Arabidopsis thaliana: one gene and its partners. The protein of the gene in region 3 interacts with the protein of the main gene of each other region in a pairwise test. Each region holds a gene or a part of one and is shown on either strand. Other genes may lie near its edges. The genes, in order: SCL21, NF-YC2, AT4G14720 and AHP2.

What was found.
Region 1: the proteins of AT4G14720 (region 3) and SCL21 interact in binary tests that used the Arabidopsis thaliana proteins (3 or more experiments, as listed by UniProt).
Region 2: the proteins of AT4G14720 (region 3) and NF-YC2 interact in binary tests that used the Arabidopsis thaliana proteins (3 or more experiments, as listed by UniProt).
Region 4: the proteins of AT4G14720 (region 3) and AHP2 interact in binary tests that used the Arabidopsis thaliana proteins (3 or more experiments, as listed by UniProt).

Annotation. Positions count from the first base shown.
Region 1 is NC_003071.7:1,717,663-1,725,429, forward strand, and holds SCL21 (SCARECROW-like 21), read right to left. Parts: upstream 4,943-7,767; 5' UTR 4,929-4,942; coding exon of another isoform or gene 4,838-4,928; 5' UTR 4,619-4,837; intron 4,238-4,618; 5' UTR 4,155-4,237; coding exon 2,913-4,154; 3' UTR 2,699-2,912; downstream 1-2,698. Other genes in the region: ZAP1 (zinc-dependent activator protein-1), read left to right, coding at 895-1,718, 1,822-1,977, 2,074-2,557; AT2G04900 (uncharacterized protein), read left to right, coding at 4,838-4,928, 5,008-5,078, 5,163-5,243, 5,328-5,371, 5,845-5,944; AT2G04910 (Carbohydrate-binding X8 domain superfamily protein), read right to left, coding at 6,318-6,692. UniProt on the Arabidopsis thaliana protein: Probable transcription factor involved in plant development.
Region 2 is NC_003070.9:21,021,258-21,028,045, forward strand, and holds NF-YC2 (nuclear factor Y, subunit C2), read left to right. Parts: upstream 1-3,224; 5' UTR 3,225-3,539; exon of another isoform or gene 3,540-3,847; 5' UTR 3,848-3,860; coding exon 3,861-4,460; 3' UTR 4,461-4,645; downstream 4,646-6,788. Other genes in the region: MYB72 (myb domain protein 72), read left to right, coding at 1,127-1,265, 1,351-1,480, 1,566-2,187; AT1G56180 (ATP-dependent zinc metalloprotease), read right to left, coding at 4,986-5,141, 5,260-5,392, 5,474-5,550, 5,668-5,744, 5,828-6,076, 6,164-6,223, 6,373-6,788. UniProt on the Arabidopsis thaliana protein: Stimulates the transcription of various genes by recognizing and binding to a CCAAT motif in promoters.
Region 3 is NC_003075.7:8,430,048-8,438,904, forward strand, and holds AT4G14720 (TIFY domain/Divergent CCT motif family protein), read right to left. Parts: upstream 5,059-8,857; 5' UTR 4,888-5,058; coding exon 4,770-4,887; intron 4,588-4,769; coding exon 4,448-4,587; intron 4,313-4,447; coding exon 4,134-4,312; intron 3,649-4,133; coding exon 3,558-3,648; intron 3,470-3,557; coding exon 3,373-3,469; intron 3,064-3,372; coding exon 3,004-3,063; intron 2,808-3,003; coding exon 2,744-2,807; intron 2,671-2,743; coding exon 2,436-2,670; 3' UTR 2,413-2,435; coding exon of another isoform or gene 2,405-2,412; 3' UTR 1,926-2,404; downstream 1-1,925. Other genes in the region: ARD1 (acireductone dioxygenase 1), read right to left, coding at 437-479, 593-663, 743-867, 951-1,065, 1,199-1,293, 1,374-1,485, 1,803-1,820. UniProt on the Arabidopsis thaliana protein: Regulates the arrest of dispersed meristematic cells during lamina development.
Region 4 is NC_003074.8:11,260,314-11,267,442, forward strand, and holds AHP2 (histidine-containing phosphotransmitter 2), read right to left. Parts: upstream 5,250-7,129; 5' UTR 5,096-5,249; coding exon 5,030-5,095; intron 4,811-5,029; coding exon 4,680-4,810; intron 4,600-4,679; coding exon 4,528-4,599; intron 4,445-4,527; coding exon 4,373-4,444; coding exon of another isoform or gene 4,369-4,372; exon of another isoform or gene 4,318-4,368; intron 4,305-4,317; coding exon 4,232-4,304; intron 4,123-4,231; coding exon 4,066-4,122; 3' UTR 3,813-4,065; downstream 1-3,812. Other genes in the region: AT3G29340 (zinc finger (C2H2 type) family protein), read right to left, coding at 1-287, 1,071-1,793, 1,912-2,127; UGD2 (UDP-glucose 6-dehydrogenase family protein), read right to left, coding at 7,062-7,129. UniProt on the Arabidopsis thaliana protein: Functions as a two-component phosphorelay mediators between cytokinin sensor histidine kinases and response regulator (B-type ARRs). Plays an important role in propagating cytokinin signal transduction through the multistep His-to-Asp phosphorelay.

The DNA of each region.
Region 1 (7,767 bases), on a different chromosome or scaffold from region 3:
ACTAATGAGACACACGAGATTATTATGCACTGGGTTCTCTGGGTCCCACTGCTTCTGCTTTTGTCGGCTTGCGTTTTGTGGGTGGAGAATATATGTCATGAGAAACGTATCATCTAACCGTTAGATCAACGACGTCTACATATCTTTCAATACACCGCGTAACACTGAAACAAAACCTCTCTTCCCCACTTTCTTCTTCTTCTTCTTTCTCCATAGTCATTTCTAAGTCCAACCATCTGATTCTTCGACATGACCTTTTGTTCTTCTTCTCTTTTCTCTCTCTCTTAAACCCAATTTGAGATTGTTCGATTTCGATCTACGAGATTCTTACAAGAACATAAGCAGCTTCGGTTTTTTGGGATTATCTTATTTGGTCGGATGATGATCTTCTCGATGTCTGTGCTAGGTAAATTCTTTATTTTATTTTGTTTTTGAAGTTGTATTAAATTCTTTAATTTAGTATTAAATGTTGAATCTTTATGCGAATCTTGTTACTGGGTCGTCTCTTAACTCCGTAGTAAATGGAACAAATTTGCCGACTTTTTATGTAATTTGGTTATAAGATTTTAGCAAATGCTTTAATTTTGGGGTTTTGTTTGTTTCAAAGTAAAGTACTTGAGTCTAAAGATCGTTGGTGAAGCATAGGACTAATCAATTTTGAGTCTTTACTAAGATTGTAATTGATATAGAAATTTCCCAAAAGTGGAGACTTTTAGTGGTTATTCTGCAACATTTTATTCCTAATTGTTGTTTCTGTGGAATTTAGTGTGAATTCACTGTAATGATTTGGTTTTTGTTTGTTTTGATTTCTCCTTCAGGCTTTGGGAATTAGATATATTTGGGGTTAAGCTCGAGTCTCTCCGGTTTTGAGTTTACTTGAGTTTGTTAGTATTTATGGCTGAGGTGGGAAAAGTTCTGGCTAGTGATATGGAGTTAGACCATTCAAATGAGACTAAAGCAGTGGATGATGTTGTTGCCACTACTGATAAAGCGGAGGTCATACCAGTGGCTGTAACTAGAACTGAAACCGTTGTTGAAAGTTTGGAATCTACTGACTGTAAGGAGCTTGAAAAACTTGTTCCACATACGGTAGCTTCGCAGTCGGAAGTAGATGTTGCTTCCCCGGTATCCGAGAAAGCACCGAAGGTTTCTGAAAGTAGCGGTGCATTATCTTTGCAGTCTGGTTCGGAAGGGAATAGTCCTTTTATTCGTGAGAAGGTTATGGAAGACGGATACAACTGGCGGAAATATGGACAGAAACTTGTGAAAGGAAATGAGTTTGTAAGGAGCTATTACAGGTGCACTCACCCTAACTGCAAAGCGAAAAAACAGTTGGAACGGTCTGCGGGTGGACAAGTCGTGGATACCGTTTACTTTGGGGAACATGATCACCCAAAGCCTCTTGCTGGTGCTGTTCCTATCAATCAGGATAAGCGAAGTGATGTCTTCACAGCTGTTAGTAAAGGTGAACAAAGAATAGATATAGTTTCTCTAATTTATAAGCTGTGCATTGTTTCTTATGATATCATGTTTGTAGAGAAAACATCTGGATCCAGTGTTCAGACACTTCGTCAAACCGAACCACCAAAGATCCATGGAGGATTACATGTTTCAGTTATTCCACCAGCTGATGATGTGAAAACTGATATTTCACAATCAAGTAGGATAACGGGGGACAACACTCACAAGGATTATAATAGTCCTACCGCAAAGCGAAGGTATTGATGATTGATATGTCGGTTTGTTTTTCATGGTTCTGGAGGAAGACTTCACCATTGGTGTTCCTTGTTTTTTCTTCTTATGTTGATGTCACTAAATCAGGAAGAAAGGAGGGAACATTGAGCTGAGTCCAGTGGAGAGGTCAACCAATGATTCACGCATTGTGGTTCACACTCAGACTCTGTTTGATATTGTGAATGATGGGTACCGATGGCGTAAATATGGTCAGAAATCAGTAAAAGGCAGCCCATATCCAAGGTAGTGACTGCTTACATGTTTGAAATATAATGTCAAACTTTTGGTTTCATTCTTCGCTGCTCACGTTCTTTCTCCATTTGATGTTTTATGTATTAGGAGCTACTATAGATGTTCAAGCCCTGGATGCCCCGTCAAGAAACACGTAGAGAGGTCATCTCATGACACAAAGTTGCTTATAACAACTTACGAGGGAAAACACGACCACGATATGCCTCCAGGAAGAGTTGTTACTCATAATAACATGCTGGACTCGGAAGTTGATGATAAAGAAGGAGATGCCAACAAGACTCCACAGAGCTCAACTCTTCAATCCATTACAAAAGACCAGCATGTCGAAGATCACTTAAGAAAGAAAACGAAGACTAATGGCTTTGAGAAAAGTCTTGATCAAGGTCCAGTTTTGGATGAGAAGCTGAAGGAGGAAATAAAAGAGAGATCAGATGCAAACAAAGATCACGCAGCCAATCACGCCAAGCCGGAAGCAAAGTCAGATGATAAAACCACTGTTTGTCAAGAGAAGGCAGTAGGAACCCTGGAGAGCGAGGAACAAAAACCCAAGACAGAGCCTGCCCAAAGCTAAGCATTCAGTGTTGTACCGAGTGGTAATTTATATGGCTGTTTTAACATAGATTAGTACAGGCGATATGGTTATAGACTGTACAGTTGTTGTTCAGGCGGGACCAGATTTAGATTAGTGTTTAATGGAATAGTATGCTTTAATACCTTTATGTAACCACTTCCATTTGGTTCAAATAAGAGTTACAGGAAGAGAAGGTAACACAACAAGAGCCCTTCTTTGTTGATGGAGCCTGTGTAATAGTTGTAGCATGGGGATGTATATGATTTGATTCAACCTTATTAATGGTTATGAGACAAAACTATCTATTACTTCCAGTTCTGTCTTTTGCATTACATTCTTGGAGACGTTTATTCTTTCACTTCCATGCACAAGATGAGACCAAGATTCGGTCCATCCAACCAAGGTACAGAGCACCATCTCTTTCTTCAATCGCATACCCGTTGCTGTAATCTCTCAAGAGGGCTCTAATGGTGGCTGAAATGATTGAGCTCAAGGGGTATGGCTCAAAACCCGCCATGGAAAACCTTGACTTCCATTTCCCGAGAAGCTCGTGTCTTTCGATCCTCTCGGCTCCTTCACAAGCTATGATGTTGACGACATCCCTTGCCATGCAGTGCTGCTCGATATTGATCCTTTCCTTGTGATTTCTCGGAAGCATAACATCGATAGATTCGAACATTGCCGTGTAATAACTTAATGTCTCAAGGAACCTAGGAAGGAAAGGGGAAGTGTTCGTGTTGCATTCTTGTTCCACAAGAGTGACTACTTTAGGTGATAGACTCTTCACCATCCTCAGCAACCGGTCCCTGTGGTTTTCCATGCTTACACTCTCATCTGGCAAATGATGCAGCATGTAAGCAAAGTTCACTCCAAGGGCTTCGCCATCTCGGACATCAAGATTTTCCACTTCAACTTCACAACTTGGCCTTGAAACCGCATTGAACCTGAATGGAACATCAAACTTCTTTGCAAGTTTCTCTAGTCTCTTCTTGACTGTAACCAAGACAGATCCATCACCAACTCCGGTAATTCGAATATTTGGAGCCCCACCAGGCCTAGCTGCAAAAGCCTGGATAAGTGCTATCCACTGGCTCCCTTGTCCAATTTGGAAGTCAATAATGTGAATCCTCTCTTCATCCTTCATTGCTTCTGCAATCGCACCATTCGCTGACATGTATCCAAACTTGAAATATGGACAAACCTCATGCAGAACATACACATAAGATAAAAATTCATAACTCTCTGGTTCTCTGGACTGGAGAGACTTATATATCGAACTACCAGAAGCAGCAAGCCTAGCAACAAGCCCTTCTAACATATAAGCTCCCAATCTCTGGATTGGCTCACCAGAAATCGAAACCATACCGCGCAACTCACCCATACACCATCGTGCCATTAGAAGATTATTCTCAGAAACAGCTTTTGCACAAGCAACAAGTACCAACTTCAAGTCTCCCCTTGATATTGCCTCCACTATCAATAACAAATCTTTAGCATCATCAGGCCACATGGAGAGTTCATGGCAGATAGCATCATCGATACTCTCAGCTATCTCTGGCAGTGGCTGCAACATTATTGAACCTCTTACATTGTCCATCACAAATAAGCAAGTAAGAATCTTTGAACATCAACCATTATCCTCAAATGACCTTTTATTTATCTGATCTTCATAACAAACACCTGTAGAATTCATAGACAAAGTCATTAATCAGAGACTGAATTAGATATCAATATTGAACAATAATATCCATGGAGATCAAAACTCTAACAAGAACTCTAGTATCATTGAAATCAACTCATGACTCTATGAATCTACGTCAGCCATGAACTACTTCATCAATAAACAAGGCATACAAGAGTTCCAATCCTAAACAAACTAATTTGACAATTTCTCTTCACACTTTAGAGTAAAGCTTGCTAGAAAGAGCAATCATTTACAACAAACCAACATCAAACTTATCAAAGAAGAAATGTTTTCATGTTTTGTGGATAAGAAGAAGCAGAGCATCAAAATCATCAAGAAAAGAGAATAAAGGTTTGATTTTTATGAGAAAAACAAACCTTGTGTAGGTTAAGAAGTGATCTTTCGGTGGAAGTCGATAAGGGATTTGGTTTTGCAAGTGAGAGATCCAACCAAAGCTCGCAGCTGAAGCAAAAGGAAGAATCTTTTTAGTTGCTGTAGTGAAGAAAATAACACATCACATACGACGTCGTTTTAGGCTTAAACCGAATAAGACCCGATCACCGACTTGACACATCTCGCTTAAAGTCTCTGGTCAAATGGGAAATAGTGTAAGAAGCAATCTAAGAGACATCAGAGGACGACGATCGATGGATCCTCGGATGTGGCACAAAGTCGCCGCTATTTCCGGTGAGATTTAAGATAAAGTAATGATCTTTTGATTTTGATCTTGTGAGGAAAGGTACTGATTCGGATAGAATTGGTTTAGGTATGGCTGCTCTTGGTTTGGGAACTTATGGTGCTCATGTCTTTAAACCAGAGAACCCTTCTTACAAACAGGTTTAGATTCTTGAAAATTGTTGGAAAATTCGATACTTTGTTGGATTTCTGTGAGAAAGTTTAGGTTTTTTTGTTGTTGTTCAGGTGTGGCAAACGGCTTCACTTTACCATTTGGTTCACACTGCTGCTCTTGTTTCTGCTCCTAGCACCAAATATCCCAACATTGTTAGCTTTCTCTTCTTGTACTCTGTTTCTCTAATCTTTGTCCTTTGAGAGTTGATGGAGCTGACATATCTTTTTCTTGCTTAGTTTGGTGGCTTGTTGACTGCTGGAATTGTAGCCTTTTCCGGCACGTAAGTTGTTATCTTTTTGTTTCTCAGATTCTTCAGTTTGAGATGTGTATGGTAGAGCTTTTGTGCTAGATGTTTGTTGGATGTCTTGTCATTGAGGTTATAGTAGTGCATTCATGGATATTTGAGCTATTTAGATATGATTTGGACTTTCTAGAATTCATATCTAATCTCTAGCAGTAGCAATACTTGCCACAATTCTTCGTGGCTAGGGAGATTTTATCGATTTCGACATGTGTCCAACTCTGAAGCATTTGGAAACCATTGTATCACTTATTTAATAGCATAGGTCTTTGTATTTGAGTTAATGAATGGTATTTGTCCCCTTTGTACTTCCTTTGATATGTGAAGGTATGCTCTTTGGAGAAGTAACTATATTTTAGATGCTTAGTAGATAACTTTAGTTTTGTGTTCAATAGTCTATTTCCGGGTATGAGTATGTGAGAAGTTTCATGTGTGTTGAAATGTTGTTGCAGGTGTTATATGGTAGCGCTGCGGGAGGACAGAAAGTTTTCGACATTGGCACCATTCGGAGGCTTTGCGTTCATTGCTGCATGGGCAACTTTACTTTTCTAAACAATCTCATAACCATCTATATTGTCAAGTTTGTGGTCAAGCTTATCCTACATATGAACTCACTGTTTTTTTTTGTTTACCTAAGAGATTGCTTAATAACAATTCTGTGTCGACAACCATTAAGCATCTTCCTTTACTTGTTCAGTTTGTTGCTAAAGGGATTATGTAAATGACGACCATATTAATGTAATCTTATTACCATACAATTTATCAAAATTCTACATTACAAGAACTTCCAAGTTCCAACAAAGATTTGTTTATATTGTTCACCGGTAGTATAATTCATCATCTTTCATTTCATCTTGGTCTTTCCTTTGAATCATTGGACATACTCAAAATGGCACATACTCAAAATGGCACGAATCGTGACCTATCAAATCATGAGATAATCAGAAACAGATGGTTCAAGATTTTGATTGATCAAAGAGCTTAAATAACTGTAACAAAAAGGGTTTAGATAAAGTTGCTTACTAGGGTCGGTTTGTGTGATAAATGCAGTGCTGTTGAAGTTACAGGAACCGCCGTTGCGCTTATAACGCTGGTAATAGTTATTGAAGACAACAGAGGCATGGTCCTTGACAGTGTTGGGCAAGAAGCAAGGCTGGTTAGGCTGAATCGTACTGCAGTCTGCTCCACCTGTTTGACAAGCCCAGTCTACGGCTGCTTGTATCACATTATCTGGTATCTGTCCATCGGCTACACACCATTGTCCGAACTCCGCTTTCGCTACAAAAATAAGATACCCCATGTTATAGAGATCTTTGAGATTATGTGTATGTTACAATAATATTGTACCTGAAAACGTTACTGTTATGAAAAGTAGAGCAATTGCTATCCCTAAACAAAAAGTTTTCATCTTTTACAAGAGGCAAGTTGAACTGTTTGAGAGCTTAAAGATGGTTATAACTCGAGTATTTTATAGTGTTAGTATTCTGTGTTTAGAATGGATTATACTCTGACCAACAAAATAAAGAATGAATTATGTAAGATCTTATATTTAGGTGTAAGTCATATCAACTGCCAAATTTTGTTGACTATGAATTTGATTCAAATATATATGAGTTATGTTATATGGAATGTGGTCAAGCTTATCATATATAGCTTATTTTGTTTCAGAATGGATAATGTCAATTACCAAATTGATGTAATTTTAATACCATATATCTTATTGAAGTTCTACATTTGAATATAATATCTGTTTCATTAGCTGGAGAAGAAGAGAAAAGTGAAACATCTAATCTTTATTGCATGTGCACCAAAAATAACAAATGAGTAAAACAAGATATGTAGGTGAAATTTATTGCACCACCAACTTTGAAACACAACAATATTGGAAGCAGAACTTTAAGCCTCCTAAAACCAAAGGATTTAGCCAGAATTGCATACTAGGGTCGCAATCCATGATCATTTTTGAGTGGCACTCGGGAGAGAACCATATAAATTAAAATGGTTTGGTTCCCGCCTAAGAGGATGAATGTGCAGACCAAATAAAATGTTTTGGTTCCCAGCTTGTGAGAATGTATGTGCTTAGCTCGGAACCTCTTAGTCATAAATAGATAAATGTTTTTAAAAAATCGGTGATGCGCCATTAAAGTAACTAGAACCTCCATTGTGCTTATAACGCTGGTAATAATTATTGAAGACAACGAAGGCATGGTCCTTGATAGTGTTGGCCTGCTGGCCTTGAAACAAGCTAAGGTTGGTTAGGCTTTAATCTTATTGCAGTCTGCTCCACTGGCTTGACAAGCCTAGTATATGGTTGTTTGTAACACATCACCAGGTGCCTTTTTATAGGCTATCACCATTGTTGGTTCTCCACTTCT
Region 2 (6,788 bases), on a different chromosome or scaffold from region 3:
ACTTTCATTATTCTTTGTATTAAAACTTCATAGCAAAAAAAAGTAAATAATATTCCCTCCACATCAATTTAAGTGATGTTTTAAGGGTATTTTGTTCTTGATTCATTATAAGTGATGTTTTCAATTTGTTAATATCTTAATTTTTTTGGCTAATTATGTTTTACATCATGTTTTTGTTATTGTCTGAAAACTGAACTTAATGATGTTTTTATGTAAAAGAGATAAATTAAATGAATGTCTTGTGTTTTCTTAATTTATGCGTAAAAACCTTAAACATTAGATACAAAGTGATTAAGAAGTAAATAAAAGGAGTAAATAAGAGTAAACTTAGATGATGATGATGATGATGTGGGTTGAGTTTTATAAGAAATACGAAGACGAGTAAATAAGTTAATAGGCTAAAGAAAAGGATTATTGAATTCTCCTTCTGAACTAAATGTCAAATAATAAGTGTCAGGATTAATAAAAAATAAACTGATCTGAATTAATTAGGATTACAGTCTACAGATTTATTCTATTTATTTCTCCAATTGGTGTTACTTTTGTTTGTGGCATGGCCCTTGTGGTCTTTAACACACACGCACACAAACAACCGCTCTAAAGTTTACAATATACTAGATTTCTACTCGCTCATATCAAAATCTAAAGTCGAAAATCTTTTTGTATAAAATATTTAAAACTGAATAATCAAGAAATGTATCAAACTATTTAAATATTTCCGTGATGCTCAAATTAATATACATATTTTTCGTAACTCGTCAATGAATCATGCATAACTTGTTTACACAATTATACTTAATGGACACTATGATCTGTACACGGGCATATGAGTAACAAAAGAAATTTAAGAGATTACTAGTTAAAATCTGCCGTTAACTTCCGTACGTTCCATGCTTTTGGGTCTCTCTCTACGAGTGAAGTGCCTCAAATAAATAAGAGTTTTATTGAATGGAGTGGAAAATCTAATCTCTAACTAATAATTATAAAACATCTTCTGACGTAAAGAGCCGGGTTATATCAATGATATATATATAGGAGCTCCTGATAATAATCAAAAACATAACATTGCATATATAGAGAAAGATATAGTGAAGGTAGCTATAGAGAAGAAAGTAGTGTAATAAGAATGGGGAAAGGAAGAGCACCATGCTGCGACAAGAACAAAGTGAAGAGAGGGCCATGGAGCCCTCAAGAAGATCTCACTCTCATCACTTTTATTCAAAAACATGGCCATCAAAACTGGAGATCTCTTCCCAAGCTTGCTGGTTAGTATTTATTCACATGCATGTTTCGGTAATACTATAAAGTTTTAAATAACTAAGAGAAATAATGATTGATATATATACATAGGATTGTTGAGATGTGGGAAAAGTTGCCGACTAAGATGGATAAACTATCTGAGACCGGACGTGAAGCGAGGCAACTTTAGCAAAAAGGAGGAAGATGCTATCATTCACTACCATCAAACCCTTGGAAACAAGTTTGTACTCTACCTATTCATCTAATTTCTTTATAATAAGACAATATATAGTATGTAGAGACTAATTGATATATGTGATCATCAGGTGGTCAAAGATCGCGTCCTTCTTGCCGGGAAGAACTGACAACGAGATCAAAAACGTGTGGAACACGCATCTCAAGAAACGACTCACTCCATCTTCTTCTTCTTCATCCCTCTCTAGCACTCATGACCAAAGCACAAAAGCAGATCATGACAAGAACTGTGACGGGGCTCAAGAAGAAATACATTCAGGGTTAAATGAGAGCCAAAACTCAGCTACTTCGTCACATCACCAAGGCGAGTGTATGCACACAAAACCAGAGCTTCATGAGGTTAATGGACTCAACGAGATCCAGTTCCTGCTCGACCATGATGACTTTGATGATATAACCTCTGAGTTTCTTCAGGATAACGATATCTTATTTCCGCTAGACTCTCTTCTTCATAACCACCAAACTCACATTTCAACCCAAGAAATGACTCGAGAGGTAACCAAATCGCAATCATTTGATCATCCTCAACCGGATATCCCATGCGGATTTGAAGACACAAACGAAGAATCCGACTTGAGGAGACAGCTGGTTGAATCAACCACACCTAACAATGAGTACGACGAGTGGTTCAACTTCATTGACAACCAAACTTACTTTGATGATTTTAATTTCGTCGGAGAAGTATGTCTATGAATGTCAATAATATATGCATGACCAGTGTTGTATCCACTTTTGAATGTTGAGTAAATTACTATTTTACATGGATTGCCCATGCATTGAGAAGATGCTATGTTTTATGAGAGCTCTATGATATTGGTTCGTTTTTCGGCTAGATTCACACAAACAACTCTTCTCTTTTCCTTCTCGATCACTCTTATGGCTGCTCTCAGAGTCTCCGTTTTCAGAGGCCAAAACAGGTCGCAGGTTGATGGCTGGCAATGGCAGCATCGACTGCTTCCGGTGTGTCGAGATCAGGCGCCACACCAAGCATCAAGTCCTGAAATCGAATTAGGTGTGTGTAAGTTTCTTAGCCTAGATACAAACAACAAGAAATATGACTCCAACTGTACTCATCATTTCAATCACTTGATATTTGCTTCCTGTAAGGGCTTCAATGTCAAAAGCTTCTGAATTATCCTAAGTCCATACATATTTGAGAGACTGAGACGGTCTCAGTGAGACCAAACAGAAGAAGAAAAGAAAAGAAAAAAACAGAACAAATACTACAAAGAATACACAAACTTTTGATTCTTGCTCCAACCGTTTATTAAAGCACATGACCTGTTTGGGATCATCACATATCACACTAGAATCACAAAAACTACAAATTTCACAGCTCCGAGCACGCAATGATTAACAGAAATCCGACAACTACACCAATCTCTTACAGATTAAAACACAAAGAAGAGAGCTTGTGTAAGTTAAACACGTATGGTAAATACATTAGCAGTAAGAAGATACCTTGGCTTCTGAAAAGTGGAGCAATTGTGGACTTCACATAGAGGGATGGAGGAGACTGTTCTGCTCCTTACAGAACAAAACTAGCGACGACTCTGCACATAATTATCGGCATAATTAAACAAAGTCTGGCTCTTTCGAACCCCAAAGAAGAGTGGCGATAGCAAAGATGGATCCTTTGCCTCTGCAACTTCTTTCGATGGTTTCCTTTCCTCTGCTTCCCGTTTCCCTTTACTCTGTTGACAATTAGGGTCAAGTTTTGATCCGGCCCGGGTGATTTACAGCCCACAAGGTCCAATGGGCTTCTTCGAAAATAAGTTTGCGCGACGTTGCAAATGTCACGTGACTTTTGTTCACGCGCACTTCACGTGTTCTTCGTTATTCTTCGAAACCGTCCGATAAAGAAATTTCTGGAATAACACAACATAACCAATGAAAAGCATACAGGTGGAAGTAACGTAAAAACTCCCGCTTTTTCGACACGTGTCAACTAGGCGGAAGATACGCACCACCAGAAACGCTTGATAAAAAGCTAACCCGCCCCAAACCCATTTATCTTAGGGTTTCGCGAGATCTCACTCTCACTGGTATGTCTGTGTTTCTTCTTCCATTTTCTGTTTCTATTGGAAACTTCTCTCTCCAATTTCGTTTTCTTCACTTCTTTGATCCTTTAGCTTTGACAAAACCGTAGTAAAGGATCAAAAGTTATCATCTTTGGTCCATGTTGTGAATCGTGCTCTGCTTGGGTCGTGACTCCCAAATCCGGATTTGAAACCAGCATATCTGAGCTTAATTCGAGCATGCATGCGCTTCTTTTTTTCTGATTTTTTTTAGACTTTGGTTCTAAATCCCTTAACTTTGGATTAACTGTCAATCTACAATTTTATATTAACAGAGATAGCTTAGCAATGGAGCAGTCAGAAGAGGGTCAACAGCAACAGCAACAGGGAGTGATGGATTATGTACCTCCTCATGCTTATCAGAGTGGGCCAGTAAATGCAGCTTCCCATATGGCATTCCAACAAGCTCACCACTTCCACCACCACCATCAGCAGCAACAACAGCAGCAGCTTCAGATGTTCTGGGCTAACCAAATGCAAGAGATCGAGCATACCACTGATTTCAAGAACCACACCCTTCCCCTAGCCCGCATCAAGAAGATCATGAAAGCTGATGAAGATGTGAGGATGATCTCTGCGGAGGCTCCTGTGATTTTTGCCAAGGCCTGTGAGATGTTCATTTTGGAGCTCACTCTACGTGCTTGGATCCACACCGAGGAGAACAAGAGGAGGACCTTGCAGAAGAACGACATCGCCGCTGCCATTTCCAGGACCGACGTGTTTGATTTCCTTGTGGACATAATCCCGAGGGACGAGCTGAAAGAAGAAGGTTTAGGCGTGACCAAAGGGACCATACCATCGGTGGTGGGTTCCCCGCCATACTATTACTTGCAACAACAGGGGATGATGCAACACTGGCCCCAGGAGCAACACCCTGATGAGTCTTAAAACTTTTCCCCTTTCGTTTGTTTGGTTGTATCGTAGTAAGGTAGCTCTGCTCTGCTGGGAACCATTTCTATTGTGTTCTGTAATGACATGTTAGTATATCCCCAGTCTATATCTATGGCAATGCAGTTTCTGTTCTCATGTGCATTAAATAATAACAAGAATGATAGAAAGAAAATCACTACTAGTAATGCCCAAAACTTTACTTCACAGGAATTCAACTATACAGCTTTCATGTGATTGCTACTTTACAACCATTTTCTTTATGCTATTAAAAGCTTGGCTCCTATTCCTTTAAAGTTTAAACCTTGTCATCCTCCACATCTCCCTTAGTGGATAAAACCTTAACTTACTTGAACATGGATCCAAAGATACAAGTCCCTTCTCGCCATTCCAGTTGCAGTCAGGTGGTTTATATACCGAGATACCGAGAGCTTATCTGCTTCGGTCTCCATGCATTCCAAATGAGTTTTTTTTTTATGGGCTGTCCGTATTAGTAATAAATTACAGAAAATGCTGGTGCTTCAATCATTTGCTTGAAGACATGGCTTCCTCAATCCTTCTAATCACAATGCTAAGAGGACTTCCCACTTGGAGAGCTTCAACAGCGGCCCTATGTGCTGCCTTGTGCCACTTGAGTAGATTGTAAGATTGTAGAACAGACCACCTGGCTTGATTCGACATCTGTATGATCAAACGCACAGATTCGCAATGCTTAACAATCTGTACACTTGTGCAAGAAAAGTGGAAGCACATATTATACTAGTCAAATCAGATATATATGAATTTCATTAGTCCTGACCTGAGCTACGGATAACGGTGGTTCCAGAAGGACTGAGATGCTCCTGAACAGATTTTCATCATTCTCTCCACCCTCAGCCTCACCATAAACTAGCGCTTCAGCTGCAATACCAGCAAATAGTACCATGCTATACCTAAGAGAAACTGAACCAGCATTAGGTTTGTGAATGAGAGAAAACTCAGAGGGAGAGAACAACACCTTGACTAATAATCACCTATCAAATGAGCTACCGCTAAGTCGTCCCTCAGCAATCTCACTCTCCATCTTTTGATCCCAGAATTGGGTTCCAGCCTAGAGAAACACATGATAATCCATTTATGTACTCGGTTCCATATGTAGCTAAAAGAACATAGAATCACAGCACTACAAAATAGAATAGTATAACACTAGAGTGAATCTAAATAATACCTGGCCTTGAACCCCCATTTGCATGGCAACAACCGGATCCAATATCACACCACGGATTGGGCAGCCCATGAGGTATGCTGCACGACAAATAAGCTGCAATCGTTAGCCACAAAACGAGAAAGAAATTTCATAAAAATACTAATGATCACGAATGTCTTACCAACAAGAAGATGACCAGCTTCGTGAACTACGATTCTACGCTTATGTGGAGGCCAGTAGCATGATACTTGGGCTAAGCAGGTACCACCAAGAAAAACGGAATCCAAATAAGCTAGACCCAAAATGACAGCAAGGTTTGGCCGCACATCAATCTCCTGTGAAAGAAGATAGGAGACTCCACCCAGCAAAGCAGCCAGAGCAATGCTAGAACCACCAGAAAGTCCCCACTTCTTCGGTGAAAGTTTAGTCACTAACCAATATAAACAGTAAAATAAGTTTCCATCGCCACACACTGAGTAATCAAAGATGACTGAAGAGAGAAATTTGAGCTACACACCTTCCAAGCCAGTTGCAGACTTCAGGACAGTAGGTGTTACCTCTCTTGTTCCTTCCAAAACTGCATCACAGTGATACAGAAGCAAGAAACTTATGAAACGATACAAATTAATCAGTTCAAATGCTCGCACACATAGCTAAACATTACTTTTGTACATCTATCTAAACAGAAGTTGATTTTGAAGGCGCAAAGAAGAGAAAACAGAGTACCAATACTGGTGAATTTGCCGAAGTTGGCCAAAAGACCTCTCTCCTTAAGAAACCTAAACGCACTTCCAACAAGTCTCATATCATCTGCATTCAAACACGCATCTAAAACTTGCCAATCCCTCTCCAATTCAAGAGCTCCCAAGCCGCTTAACTTAGCCGTGACAATAGATTCAACCGAATCACGCTGTTCATCATTTTCAATAGATTTGAGGAATCTAAGAGCCCCGGCGAGATCTTTTCTCTTCACAGCATCTTCGTACTCCCGCCATTCCCTGAGTGCGCTCGGCCTCCGCAACTCATGCTTCCGGACGCTACCAAAGACTAGAGACTGTACGCGTGGAACAAGGAAGCCAATTTGGCGAGAAAAAGAAGGCGAAAGAGATCTGAGACATGGAGGAGACGACGGAGATAAAGCC
Region 3 (8,857 bases):
GAACCATCCTTAAAACCGTCAGCATGTTAAGATACACAACAACAACCAAACGAACCATGGTTTAGATTAAACCAAAGAAGTTGACGCGGTTGGACGTATTACTTCTTATTAGTTTCTTCTAATTTGTTGGTTTTTGAAAAGCAAATAAAAAAGAATAGAGATTTGTGTAAAAACTCAACATATTGCACATAGGAACGAACGTAAGACAATATGAATCCCAATGTAATCTTTTCGTATATGGGATACGACAAAGATGGTAAAGAGAGACATATCAGAGAGTGTAACTAAGTTTACAACAACTCAAGCATACCAAAAGCCATCATTCTACACAGGAATACATATAAATATCCAATACTTGACAGGAAAGCTTTCTTTATTGTAGGCCTTGTTTATAGATCCTTGTTTCAGAAAGCCAGATATAGAGAGAGGAAGCTCTCTAAGCCGAGGCATTGATCATGAAGTTATCGACATATTCTTTCCTGTAAAATATCAGAATTTATTTCTCGTAAAATAACAGAATTTCTTGCTTGATTATATATCCCATTGTTTGCATAAGAGAACAAACAAAAGGGGAAAACCCAGGACATTGTACCTTGCAGGAAGATGGTCGTGTGGGCGATTGTATGGTGTCCATACCGGTTCACCCACGAATAGCCGCATTGCCTGTTCAACAAGATATTTCAATTTTCTAAGCAAGCCCAAACTATAAAATAAATGGCTAGAAGAAAAGCTGACATTGCACCTTGATATAGTTGTCAGAGTCCACAGTGAAGCGATGATAGATCCCAGCAGGTAAGACTATCATACCTCCCTTCTTTACCAATACCCTAATCCAAGCTTCATTACGATCTCTCACATCAAAGTAACCTTTTTCCCAAGAAAATAAAACATGACTACTATATCGAAATTTTAAGTTTACGAGTAAAGCCGCCAGTAAAAGAAGTTCTTACCAGTTCCTGCAACGCAGTAACGGATCTCCTCATCAGTGTGTAAATGTTCTTCGAAAAAGCTCTTCACTTTCACTTCATAGTTTGGAAGCTTTTCCGGGCATACCTCACAAAAGTCCTGCATTTTGAACACTTTTTAATCATCAAACCAAGATTGAGAAAACCCCTAGAGAGTTAAAATAAGACTTGGACAAAAATAAACATCTACCATTCAAGTCTAGTGGGATAGTAAATAAATAAAGACCACAAACCATGTAAGAGTAACCACGAGATTCACGGATCTTTTTCAAATCCTCATCGGTTTCATAGTTATCAGCATCAAGTCTCCAGCTAAGTACTCCCAGCTCTGCACACAAACATTACATGTGAAACAAAATAGAGAAGCAGAGAGAACAACATTGAATTGAAACACACAAAGAGGGGGACCTGCAAGTTTGTCCAACGATACAAACTCTTTAGGATCCTTGTGGTGAGGAAGTCTCTGATCCTCTTCACTATCATCCATATACCAAGCTTGAATCACTTCTTCTCTCCCATCCTAAGCAAAAGCACATCAAGATGGGATTAGATTCCTTGGGAGGCAATGTTCAGATATTTTATATTTAATCTGATTTTAGCTTCAAAACTTCAGACAATTCGAGAAATCGTCAATTGCATAACTAAATTGAATACGAATAGGCATTAAACTGACTGCGAGATTTGAGCAAAAGAAGTAGTTATGATGATTCGAAAATCGTCGAAAATGAATCAAATCACTCAGATAACAATCGACGATTCATGCTTGCATCGCAAAACTAGGAATTATCGATTGGCATTAACAGATCAGAAGCAGAGGAGACAAAGATAAAAACATACCTTGACCGCTTCACCCATCGTGTTCCTCGTGATGTCTTAGTCCTTCTTCGTCTTCAAAACCACCCGATTACTCGATTCTTCTTTTTAAAACAGGGAAAAGATCAAATAAATAAAAATCTTTGGTTAAAAAGACTAAACTACCCTTATTTCTCAACTTTATAGAAGAATGTTGCAAATCTCAGACATATCACATACATCATGCCATGAAAATAGACAAATTAATTATCTCATACATATCAATCACAAAGAAGTTGTGTTACTTGGACCTCAAAGATTGGTATCATCAATAAGGTCTCTCTCATTATAAGACAAGCATTTACATAATACAAACCGCCACATCCTCTCTCTCTCTCTCGCGTCTCTCTAACCTACTCAAAACTACAGACCAAAAAAGATGGACGCAACCCGTAAAAAAAACAAAACCATACAAGACCCGCACTGATCCAGCTCAAATCTTTAACCCATGTTTCTTCCACAATGAACGAGAACATTCATTGTTTGCTTTCTTTCTTTTTGTACATGGCTAACATGTTATAAGAACATGAAATTGTTCTTCCCGCCTTTTGACCCGTAGTACCATCTCCAGTTCTTTTGGCACCTTGTTAATTATCTATAAAAAAGCGAATGAGAGTTTTAAGGGAGATCATTGGAACCATTTGACAAATGCTTGTTCATACCTTCGCTGTTTAGATCACTGTTTAGATCAACTGAGATATTGGGACTTTTTGTTTGATTTTCAGGTGACTCGCAATGCCCTGTGCCACTAAGGTTTTGTGAATATGCAGCGTTCATCCGTGGCTGACGATTCAGAAACATCTCCAAGCTAGAGGACGCAACTCCTGGAGCCTTCTTGGTCTTAGAAAATCTTCTGCTCAGAAAGAAAGGTATCAGTATTCATCGATTTGGAATAAGCAAGCACACAGCATAATAGCAACAACTACCTGTCTTTCCGCTTTTCAAGATATCTTTGCAACGATACTTTTCTGTTCGCCTGACCCTCAACATCTTCAGAAAAGACCAACAAAAAGAACAATAGTTAAATTAACAGAATTTCATGGTCGTATATCATGCAGAACAAGCAAGTAGTTTAGCGTAGCATGTAGAGGTGAAGAGGTGGACCAAATTTCGCTCTCAGGTGTTTTAAAGCATCATTGAATAATAGGATTTCATATCTTTAAGGTAAAATGAGTACTGTTTGTACCAGAATCACGAGAAGCAGGTGCCTTTTCAAGTCCATATTGGGGAAGCTCCACCATCTTCTCTGAAAAAATCAAATCACAATTTCAAAAAAAGGGGCACGAGGCATCTGTAGACACATAAGCTAGTAGAGGTAGCAGCAATTACAGCATTTAGACATGCTTCTTTGGTAATTTAACAATGCCTCCTTTCAAAATTGGACAAAATGAAAGGCCGTGTTTGACATAAGAAAGAAAGAAAGACTCATCTTGAGATGCAGCAGCTCTAGTCATTTTTTCAAGTTAGATTATACATTAAAAAAAAAACTCATTTCAAGTCTGAATCATCAATCTTTCAACTGAAAAGCAGATCAGACACTTTAGCAAATGCTTACCTTTACTCATGGGTTTCGAAATCATTCTACTAGAAGCAAAAATACCATTTTCAGGCAAATCAATTGGATTGGCTGCAAAATGCATGATAGACCGGGCCTGCAAATCAATACACAAGATGAATGATCAAAACCATACCATCAAAATTTATATTTTCAGGCTGGACAGAATTATGTGATTCATTTACCTTTTCAGGTGGTACTCCATCATATACATTCACTTTGCCACTATAAAATATCGTCATTTGCCCAACCACCGCATTTGTTTCAGCTGGGCTTCTGATGCAACATTACAAAAAAGCGTGTTTAAACAACTTAATTAAATAACATTGGAGTAGTAATTTGTTTATAAAACAACATGCACCTAATATCAATAAGACTTTGTACATGAACTACCCCTAAAACTCTTGTTAGTAATTGCAGAATTCACAAATCATATAGACTAATGGACTAAGTAACTGATTTATCGTTCACTAGCAATAATCACATCACATCATACCAATCCTCAAAACAGAAGAGTAAAGAGTAACACAGAACCAAGAAGATCTATCTGACTCTTTTAACCTAAATTCTGTGTGACCAATCCACCATCAAAACCATGATTCATATAGAAACTTTTCAATGTCTAAGACACTGATATCAAACCAAGTACTTATTCTAAGATCACAAACAGAATGTCACAATGCATCAGTTCTCTTCTTGAGGCATGAAAGCAGAAGAAAGATACCACACAAAGTCAAAACGCTATAGAAGAAAATGTAAACCTGGGGGAAACAGAAACAGTCTTGTGGCTATCTTTATCCGCAACAAACTGACCAGAACTACCAGAAAACTCAGCTGATCTTGGAGAATCCCTTCTATGGCACGCACCATCATCTTCCTGTAAAGGAATCCTTCCACAAGCTTCGAGCTCGTTCCTTGGCTCAATCAACGTTGTTGTAACCTGTGAACAAAACAGCAGTACACACAGAACAACAATTTTCCCTAAATCAGCACCAACCAAGTAAACGATTCTCTACTACTTCAGAACTTAGATTTTTCTCTGTAAATCGAAACAAAATCGAAGAACAACACTCACGCGAGGCGGATTTGGCGGCTGAGAAACAAGGATCTTGCGGAGGATTCCGGCGCCGGAATCATCTCCAGGTTCATAGAGAGCTTTAAGAGATAAAACTTGCTGGATCGCCTGAGATTTATTCCACGAAGGCCTGCGCATTCCTGTTTCGACACGTGTCAGCCGCCATTCTCCAGAGAGCGAAAAAAAAAGCTCGGAGAGAAGAAGAATAGAGAATTTCAAAAAATTGACTATGTACGATTCTTCTCAGCAAAATCCGTGAGGAAGATCCTACCGTCGAAGACAATAAGACCGGAAAAAAATGGAGAAAGGAAGAAGAAGAAACCTTTCTCTTTGAGGAATTTGCGGCAATCTTCGCGAGTAAGCTGAGAAATGTCTTCTTCAGTGAGAAGCTTCAGAGGCTTCTCAAGTATAGACTTCGCCGTAGTAACTCCTACATCCATATCCCTTGTCAGATTCCGGCCAAAACGGCCTCACCGGAGTCCCGACGAGAGAGCAGTGGCGTTTTCGTAATAATTGGAGGGTTTTGAGGGCAAAATTAGAAGAGCGAGAGAGAGAGAGAGAGAGAAAGAAAGAGAAAGAGTGAAGTCGCTAATAGTCTATGGGCTTCAATTTTAGGGGAATGGTTTTTGGAGCAGCGAAGCTCCCTAGACTGCCACGTAAGCATCCTATTAGTCTCTCTAGATTATAGCCTAATCATGCATTGCTTAAGTATCCCAATTATTTTTTATTTTTTGGGTAAATCTTATGCTGATTATTTTTTTCGCGTCAAACAGTGAAATAAAATAGTAAATGGTAACAGTTTTATATTAAATTTAAATATAATAATAGCATGAGTGATAAAGAAAAATGACACGAAAGAAAACAGAGATTATTTTGTAATCAGAGAGTATCTTGTTTGTTTATTACTGAGTGGATGTCAATTTATCTAAAATCGCATACGATCAATTTGCATGTGATATTTTGATTAAACAACTAATTATTTCTATAAATGGATAAGAGTTATTCCAAAAATAGAACAAAATATCTTTTGTGTTTTGTTTGTATACTACTTTAGTCTAGATGGACAATCATCAATTCTTGGTTAGTGTTTTTTTCCTGGTTTTACAATTCTTGGTTAGTATCTCTAAAAAATGGAAGATCATGTCACTTATACGATTATTACTTGTTAGTTAGCAGAACCTCCAGCATTGCAACACTTCAACATGTCACGCAATTTTTGCAAAAAGATAATCATTCCAAACATTTTTGCAAACAGACAATTTTCAGTTTAAAACAACCAATCAAACCCTAAATGTAATCATGTTAAATGAGTTTTTTTTTTCTTAAAAAAACATCTCATAAACATGTTAACAAAAAATTTGTTAAGCTAATTTACTAGTTGATACTTTTAAAATGGATTTAGCATTTGTTTGGCAACAACATGTGTGCTATGAATTGGATAGCAAATTAGCAATACAACAAAAACACTAGCACAAACCATTTACTTTTTTGTTAAAGGATCTAGCACAAACCATTATACTAAAAAATCTCTTCGATATCCATATTCAGTAGATCATTTAGATGCATGTAAATGAAAATGGCTCAACACATAAAAACGAAGACTAGTCATTTTCTGAAGTGAATACCAAAACAATTGAAAAATACAAGAGATAGAGTAATAAATTGACAAGACGAAGGAGGAGAAATATATTTTCACATGAGTCTGACCAATATCGATTCTCCCTTAAACCTTGCTTGGTCTTGCGTGACATCCCTTCTCATTATCCAATATATAAAGTGATAATTGATAACAATGCATGATACATGTAATTATACTCGTGATGTACGATAAGGATTCATCACTCAATTCATCCAATGTCGTAATTGTCAAGATATACATGCATGAATAAACGAACAGTTGAAAACTTCTTTTTAAAATATAGTTTCGTCATCCATACATACGGTGATGTCCCGAAAAATGATTAGATAAGCAAACCATATTAATGCAACTTTTTCTTTTTAGATTACTATGAAATTTGGAATACTGATCCATAATTTTTTTGAACAAGAGAATGGAACGTGTAAACATTTTATTTTTTTTAACATCGAAAGTCGAACTTTGTGACTTTGAAGTTAATTCACTCTCGTTTGAAGGTTTTTATAACTTACCAACAATTGATATTGAAATATATAATATTAATCAATGGTCTTCAAAAATCAAAACTATCTACCTTATACTGTATATGCATATACCATTTTTTTTTTCTTTATTGTTATTGTTAACCAGAAATTTCTAATTTTTGGCTCATAGTTTTATGTCCATGGACTAGCATTTGATAATATATACTTATTGCGATTCCACAAACGTAAATCATCTCTCTCCATATATAGCACTTAAGACTCGACCTCATATTTGGTAGTACTGTTACAATACCCTCTAGCAAGTTGACAGCAATTTTCAATTTGCCAATAACTTGTAAATCGTAAAAACTTAACATAAAAATTGGGATATAGAATTGACTATTGAGAGTAGTGGAAGATATGAGATAAAGAAGAGGGAAACAAAAAAAAAACAGAGTGGAAATAGGAAGAGTCGTTATCGAAGAAATGGATCCAAGTTGGTACCATACCTTTAATCTAAAGGATGCATCCGCCATTTCTATCGACACCACTCACCAAACCCTACCCAAATTTATTTTTTTCTTAAAGGTTTTTAAATTATATATTGTTGACTTTATTATGATGTGCTTTAAAAAAAAACAATATTGTGATTTTGTAATTGACCATGAATATGAGAGGTTTTGGAATATAACATATAGGTGAACTACTAGCCAATTGTTAGTCGGATTACTGGTTTAATAAGATGATCAGAACAACTAAACTTGTAAACTTCCATCGATTACAACAATCTTGTGAGGCTAACTTGAAGTAGTTCACCATTTTGGTTGGTGAACACTATATATGTCAATTTATGTTCTCTAATATATATTTTCTTGTTTGGTTTTCTCAATATGTGTTGTCGAGTCGAAAGTGATTAATTGATCGAGCTCAAGATCTTGCTATTAAGGCGAAGTAAAGATTGCAATTCATATTGCTGTATCCTAACAAATGTGATGGTCTCTTATCGTTCTAACATCTCTCTTTCAGATTTATATAAAAATATATATATTGTCTACAAAACTCATTCATCCACATCCAAAATTTAAAATTTGGATTATTACACAAAAGTAGATAAACCACTAGACAAATAATATCTAGTCGAATTAATTAAATTACTCGTCTAAATTATTAGCTTTTTAGATATATATATCTAAACTAAGGACTAAAGCTAGTTAGTGTAAATTTGACTTTTTTTTGTTCTTTGAAACTATGTGTAATATCTATTTTTTTGTAAATGCAAAGATAATCGAGTAATGAACATGAAAACTACTATATTATAAGGAAAAAAATGGTATTTAAATAAAAAAATATGAATAGTGATTGAAGAACCGTACAGGTTATGTTTGTGCAGGGAGAGGGGTCGCGAGTGCGTGGGTCGGGTACAGAGGATGAGTCAGTGAGTCAGGACCTGTTTCCCCCTTTGTAGGGACACTTTTACCATCCTTTAATGGGCCTATTCTTTTCATAGGCCCATTTAAATCATATCAGTCAGTCTTTTTCTTGGGCCTCATCTTTGTTTTGTGGTTCTTGCGATTTGAACTATCTGATGGTGACTACAATTGGACGACCGCAGAACAACCCAACCGTATATGCTGTCTTTTGTGGGCAAATCTTTTTTATTGATATGGATTGTCTCAAAATAAGTGATAGAAGTCCGATATAAAGCATAAAACAATCTCTCATGATCAACCATTAAAAGAAATAAACTAGCAACAACCCATGTTCCTCTTACTGACATACATACACATATAGTCAAAGATTTATGCAATAATTTGGACTTTATTAAAAATATTTACAAACCATATAGACATATATATAGTCATTTTTGATATCTTGGTTTCAAAATCTTTCTAGATCTTTAGTTCCAATAAACTTTCAATTTAAAAGCGGTTTTCTAAAAATCCGAAGTTGGCCAAGTGATATATTAGTCCTGTCCAAACTGACACAACTCACGAATGTGGTACGGGTTGAAAAGCCTTAGGCCATGTTCGTGAGGTAAAGATACTCGCGGTCGATCAACTTTGGGGAACGAATTCGTTCTTGGAACTTTTGTTGATTGATTACGGGCGTCATACGTGACGCCCCTGTTCTTTTTTATTTTTAGGACGGTTTGGGGGTGTTACAAGAGTGGTACCAAAAGACGACGAATATATTGACTCATATCTTTTATATCTTAGCATAGTTTGCTTTTTCACTTTTAATGTGAGAATTCTAACATGCACATTTGAGATAATGAATCATTTTCACTCATCGTTTTGGATCGAACCTCGT
Region 4 (7,129 bases), on a different chromosome or scaffold from region 3:
TAAACTCCTTGACACAACATAACCAAGTTCAATGCAGCTTCAATCACCTCATGTTTCTCAATCTCAGCCATAAAAGAAGATCCTTTGAATCGATCAAAAGCTGAAACAGAGCAAACCCTAGACTTCTTCTTAAGACCCCAAATCCTTTCCAAACCATTCTCATCTTCGATTCTATTGTGATTACCAGAATGCATCCTCTGGTGACCATACACACCTTTTAAAGTTCCAAACTTTCTCCCGCATGTTTTGCAACCATGAAGTCTCTGAGACATTTCGCCGACAAAAACCTGAAAATTGAAACAAAGCTCATAGCTTTTCCGTTTGATTTTCTCGAGAAAACAGAGAAGAAGACAAAGATCGCGAAGAAACACACAAAATCAGACATTTCTAAGAAGAGAGTGATCATGTTTCGCTAGAAACTTGAAAAAGTCTAAAGCTTTTTCCAGTTTATTTTCTCGGGAAAATGTGGAAGAAAACGAAAGAATAATCGCAAAGCAGAGAGCTTGATTAGCTTACCAGAACAAAATCTTCACTTGATTTTATGACTCAGGAAGAGAAAGAACACGTTTTGACCTAATCCGAAGAGCTGAAGACCTTAAAGAACACTTTTTTTTTACTTATCGCAGAGTTTGTAGTATCGCTTTCGATCTAAGCTATTGACAGACAACAATGGAGAAATTTACTTGTTGTGGAAGCTAATGAGTCTATTATGCAAAAGAAAGAAGACAGAGGATAGTTATATCCTACACTCACGCGTATCATAAACTTGGTGCTCCCTAATCGCTAAACCAATTAATTGGTTTAAGTAATCAATTTTGAACTTTGGATTGGTTCTGTATCTGAAAACATGAGTTAACCAAAGAAACTGTATTTGAACCAAGCAAGAGGAAAATGTTAAGTATACATCTGCAACTTCTGTACTTAGAAGAGAAAAAGATTCAACTAGTAGACTAGCGAGAAAACAGTTCACTGAAGTCTTGTTTTGACTCAACACAATGGAAGGTCTTCTCATGATAGATTTCAATGCTTGATGGTAGTGAAGCAAACTTGCTAGCTTCTGAGTCAATCACGCCAAACAGTGAAGTACTATCTTCAGTTTTCTCATTTTTACGCGCTACTTTTTTCACTTTGATCGATTTGCTGCAACTAATAGACTTGTCGAAACCCGAGTGAGCAAGCAGTTCACCGAAGTCTTGTTTTAACTCAACACAATGTAAGATCTTCTCCTCCTGAGAGACTTCAAAGCTTGATGGTTTTTTAACAATCTTCTTAGCTTTTAATGAGTCAGAGAATGGATTATAGTCTTCAGTGTACTTCCTTTTACACGCTAATTTCCCGCTAATCTCTCTGTGAACTCTTTTGTGATTACCTAAACCTTGAGAACACACAAAACTCTTGCCACATATTTTGCAATGACAGCTTGATTTCCACTGAGTTTTTGTCTGCAATTTACTTCTCAGAGTAGATGGTAATGCACCCGAATGAGAAAGCGGTTCACTGAAGTCTTGTTTTAACTCCACACAATGTAAGAACTTCTCCTCCTGAGAGACTTTAAAGCTTGATGGTTGTGAAACAATCTTCTTAGCTTCTGATGAGTCTAACAGTGAATTCTCATCTTGAGTACTCGCTAATTCCCTCTTAGTCGATCTGTGAAGTTTCGTGTGGCCACCTAGACCTCGATAACACCCAAAAATCTTGCCACATACTTTGCATTCATAGCAGGAGCTACTACTCTCAGGTCTTTTCTGCAACTTACTCTTCCGAGGATATACTTCACTGAACTCTTGTTTCGACTCAAACACAATCTAACATCTTCTCCTCTTGGGAGACTTCAAATTTTGATGGTTTTGAAATAGCATCTAAGGACTCAAACAATGAATTATCAAATTTAGTATACTCCCTTTTACGCACTAGTTTCTCTTTAATCGGTCTGTGAATTCTTTGGTGACCACCTAGAGCTTGATAACACTCAAAACTCTTGCCACATATTTTGCATTTGTGACTTGATTTACTCTGCAGATTACTTCTCAGAGCAATAACACCACTGCAAGTAGTAGACTTTTCGAAACCCGATTGAGAAACCATTTCCCTCAAGTCTAGTAACAACTCAACACCATCTAAATCCATGGAATCATCATCATGAGGAGACAATTCAAAGCCATACTTTTTCTGAAAACAAAACCAAGCTCATTGCAGCTTCTTCTTCCATCTCATGCTCCACAATAGTCTCAGTCATAAAAGAAGTTTCTTTTAGTGACACTGAAACCGAACAAAGACCCCCAAATCCTTAGCAAACCGAGTAAACACCAGAATCAATCCTCTGGTAACCACATACATGAAGGTTATGGATTTTGCCACCAAGATGAAAACTTTCATCTGATTGAACCTGTTTCAGCATCAAATACGTTAAACCCACAAGAATCAAACACAGGAGAGTGAGAAGAAAACACTGAAATTGTAAAAAATCGTGAGCTTTTTTCGAGAAAATAGGGGAAGAATCAAAAGAATGTAGAAAGATGAGAGCTTTGATCAGCTTACCAGAGCAAAACACTAACTTGAATTTAGGTATCAGGGCCTGAATCGCTGAGCTTGATCTGCAGAGAGTCTAGCTCTCGCTCAGCTTTTAACTCGTAGAGACTGATGAAAAAAGTTACTTGTTGCGGAAGCTATGAAGGCTATTTTGCAAAGAGATAGTTATCTCCTACACTCGCGTCTACAACTAACTACGTGCTCCCTAATCTCTAATTTTTTTATTGGTATCTTTTATATCGGTAATCTACGTTGGTCTAAAACCGGTTTGTGATGTATCCCAAAATGATTATCACATTTTCTTAAATGTCCATTTCGGAAAAAAAAGGGTCTATTTCCAAACTATTACCAGAGTTCAAAGTATGACTCCGATCTATAATTTTATATATCTCTAAAACTAAAGTTCTATACCTAGTTTTCTCCCTAAAATAAAATTTCTATATACAAATCTCTCCAAATTAATAGTTCAAGATATATCAACCCACAATTATTGGTTTCATTGGTTTATTAACGGGATAAATGTCATTTAAATCATCACTTTACCATTTCCGTTGGTTTTGAAGCATAAAATCTCGATCTAGTGATTTAAATCCTCAATTTTATGTTGACGTTCAATATAATCACGAATTCGTTGACTAAGCCAATTAAGGCACATCGTTAGAAATCTTTCTAATCAAAATTTTTGATTTTTTCTCTCTTTTTCTTCAGAATCTCTCATCTTCTTTGGAATTTCTCTTCTTTTTCGAATTCAAAGTAATATTTCGTCTTAAGGTCGATTGACGACATCGAAAAAAAGAATTTGTGTCTCAATTTGCTTAGTCAACAAGAATTTGTGATTAATTTGAAAGTCAACATAAAATTAAAGATTTAATTCACCAGATCCAAAGTTCATGATTTAAACCAACGAAAATGGTAAAGTGATGATTTAAATGACATTTTCCCCGTTTATTAACTACATGCTCCGTAATCTCGTCGAAAGCGGTTTGTGATTTATCCTGAAAGAATTACCATATTTTCTTAGAATGTCCATTTCGGATATCGAATGGGTAATGGTTTAGATTTAGGTTTTAGGGTTTACGATATTCATATTCTGATAAGGAGACAGGTTGTAAAAATTTGGAAAGTCACTACCAAACTTTTACTAATTTGAGTAAAGGTCAACTTCGAGACAAATAATTCAGATAATTACGAAAACATTATGGGCAAATTTGGGAAACTAAAAGATCTAAACACACAATTTTTAGAAGCACCCACTAGTCAAGACTTACTTAGTAATCACTATATCTTACTCAAACCAAACCTTTCAGAAGCAAACCAATATATATTATCATCACATTCATTAGTCCAATGGTTTCAATTTTCTCGGATGAGATCAAACAATACATACTACTGATTTATAAACAACCATCACTTGTTTTTGTTTCTTTTTGCACATATTTTATTGAGTTTTTGAGCAAACACCAAATCCAAAATAATTTAGAAGAGAAACTAAAGAAAGAAAGTCATCATCTTTTTTCTTCTTATGGACTAGTCTCTTTAGTTAATATCCACTTGAGGAACTATACCACCAGCTTGAATGATCTGTTTCTCAAGCTGAAACAACAACAACAACAACAATGTCAATGATTTGTTCATTACTCATAACCAAAATGATTCATTAAAAGCAGAGCCAAAAACAGAGATGGATTCTATTCACACTCACATTGAACATATCTTGAAGCTTTGTCTTTAACGCCTTGTACTCAATATCCACTTGCTGCAAACATCTCACACACCTGTAACATAACATGAGACTATTATTACTCAACCAATGAGTCCCAAGAGAAAACCATAACTCGCTTACCCTTCGTAGTTCTTAGCTTCACAACATTCCTTGAAGCTAACACACAAAGTTTTGACCCTCTTGGCACCAACACTACATAGAAACAACACAAAGCTTTTCATCAATCAACAACACACAACTTCTGCTACTTATATAAAGCGAGACATGATACATACCTTGAGCTACTACCCTTCAATTGATGCACACTAGCACCTACCTGACTAAAATCTACAGTTCCTGTCGTGTCCCTGAAATAGAAGTAGCCACAATCACACTTTAAGACAACACAAGCAATGATGATCTAGCTGAGAGAATATCAAAAACTTACAAAGCTCTAGCCATGTTACTGATAAGCTTCACACAATCTTCAAAGAAAAGTGAAAGCACTTCAGACACAAAATCAGGACTTCCATCATCTTGTAGCTTTTTCAACTCAGTAAATTGATCATCCAAAAACCCCTTCACATAAAAAAAACACAAACCCATGAATCTAAAGTTCCAACCTTTACACAACTCAAATCCCTAAAAATCATAACTTGTAAAAATCTACATAAAGATTCAATCTTTCTTCACTTTTGTCATGAATCTATGCATATAGGAGTCAATCTAGTGTGTATATGAGCTAAATTAGCTAAGCAAAGAGATGAAATTGGGTTTGAAGAATTGTGGAATTGAAACCTGTTGGTAGAGAGAAATGGTGTAATCACGAAATTGTCTCTGAAGCTGAGCAATGAGAGCGTCCATGAGAAGAGTGAAGCGGAGATTGGGAGAGGATTTTTTTGTTTGGACTTTGATTATTGACTTGGATTTCTGGAAATAGCCAATCCCAAGAAGAAGAAACTTGTGTTTTGTCTTTCTCGCGAATTGTAACGCTGCTACCAGATTTTTTTACTTTAAATGGGAAACAATAATTAAAAGAGAAACACACAAATATTTGGACATTTTTATGTATTTATTTATTTGGGTGAAAAAAATTAAATAGAGAATTTTCATAATTAACATAATTTTAAAGTTTTTTTTGATAAAAATACCATTCAAAAGTTTTGTGAACATAAATAACACTCAAATAATTATTTAATTTTTAATTATTACAACTAACATTTAAAAAAATACAAAAATTCATACCAAAAATTTTCAACAATATTTTTCTACAAAATAATTTCCGTCAAAATTTTTCCACCAAAAATAATTACGCCGCCCACATTTTACCTACAAAAAAAAATTCAGAATTTTTTTTACAAAATATAGGAAAGATTTTAAGCAATTCAGGAAAGGTTTCACGAAATTTATAATTTTTTTCTTTTGTAACCCTTCCTGAATTTTGTAGAATTTTTCCTGAATTCCCGAATTTTTCTTTTTCGAAATTCAGGAAGAATTTTACGAAAATTTTTTTTGTAAAATCTTTCCTGAATTCCGTGAAATCCTCACGAATGTCGTAGTTAGCTTCCTCAAGTTTTTTTACAAGAAAAATTTGACGGAAAATTTTTTTTGCGGGAAAATTTATTACCGAATTGTTTTGGCAGAAAATTTGACGAAAAATTTTTAGCGGAAAATTTTTATTTTTATTTATTTAAATAAAATTAATTATTTATATTTAATATTTAATTAAAATTTTGAAAGCTACTTGTGAAATTTTTCAAAAAGTTGTTATTTTTGGAAGAAAAAATTTTGTTGGTGCTATTTTTGTCAATCCCAATTAAATATTTTTTTTTTGGGAAACATTTGGATTCAATACAAGTTTTTAAGTAAATTATTGGTATTTGGTTAATTAATAAAAACTCTTTTTCTGAAAAATATAATATGAAACACTCATTTAATAATATTAAATCTAATTTAATTTTCTTATATAAAAGAAAAATATCAATCTTATGTTTCGATTTACTTGGAAAAATTAAAGTATTTGACATTATATTTTCTTTTCAAAGACCCAAAAAAAAAAAAAAAAAATTGCAACTTATTATTTCGATATTTTTAAATTACAATTAGACTAACCATTTAAAAGAAAATTTTGTGTATAAGATTTTTAATATTATTCACATATAGTTTTTTATGGTATCAGAGCTATATGTGATATGGTAAACTATTCACATTACAGATTGGAATACTCACCCAAGTTATGTAGCCAACTTCGGTGTGCGTACCTAAAAGGTTAATATGTGGTCACTAGTACTGTAAGGAATGCCTCTACGAATGGATTTATGCATATTTACTTAAACAAAAAATACCAATCGCAATGAGAGACATACAAAAACATAAAGCTTTAAATATGGAATCGTTAGGTGTCACTCAGAAATCAGAATCTCCAACCTGGAAACTTTTACAAGATGCGTTTGGTTCCTAATCCACCAGAGAAGAGATATCATGTGATTCTCTATGAACAATGTGCAAATATTCTTCCGAGTCAACTCTCGCAGACAAAGCTCAATAAGTGGCAAAACTTTCAACGATTAACTACAAAGTACAAACACATTTTACTCCAATATAAACCAATATTTATTTAGTTTCTAAGGAAACAACAAAATTGAAGCGACATTGTCGAATACAAGTCCTCTTCGACCAAAAAAATATGAAAGTAATACCAAAAAAAACAAAACACACACCAGAGAACATAACAAACATATTGTAAGAAATATAACAAGTCTTAAAGACAAACCACAAGAAGAAGAAAAGCACAAATGATGGAGGACGAAAGAGTCAGCAATGAACATCATTAGGCAACGGCAGGCATGTCCTTGAGCCAGTCGTCGAGAGGCTTACCAATGGAGTAAACAATGAAAC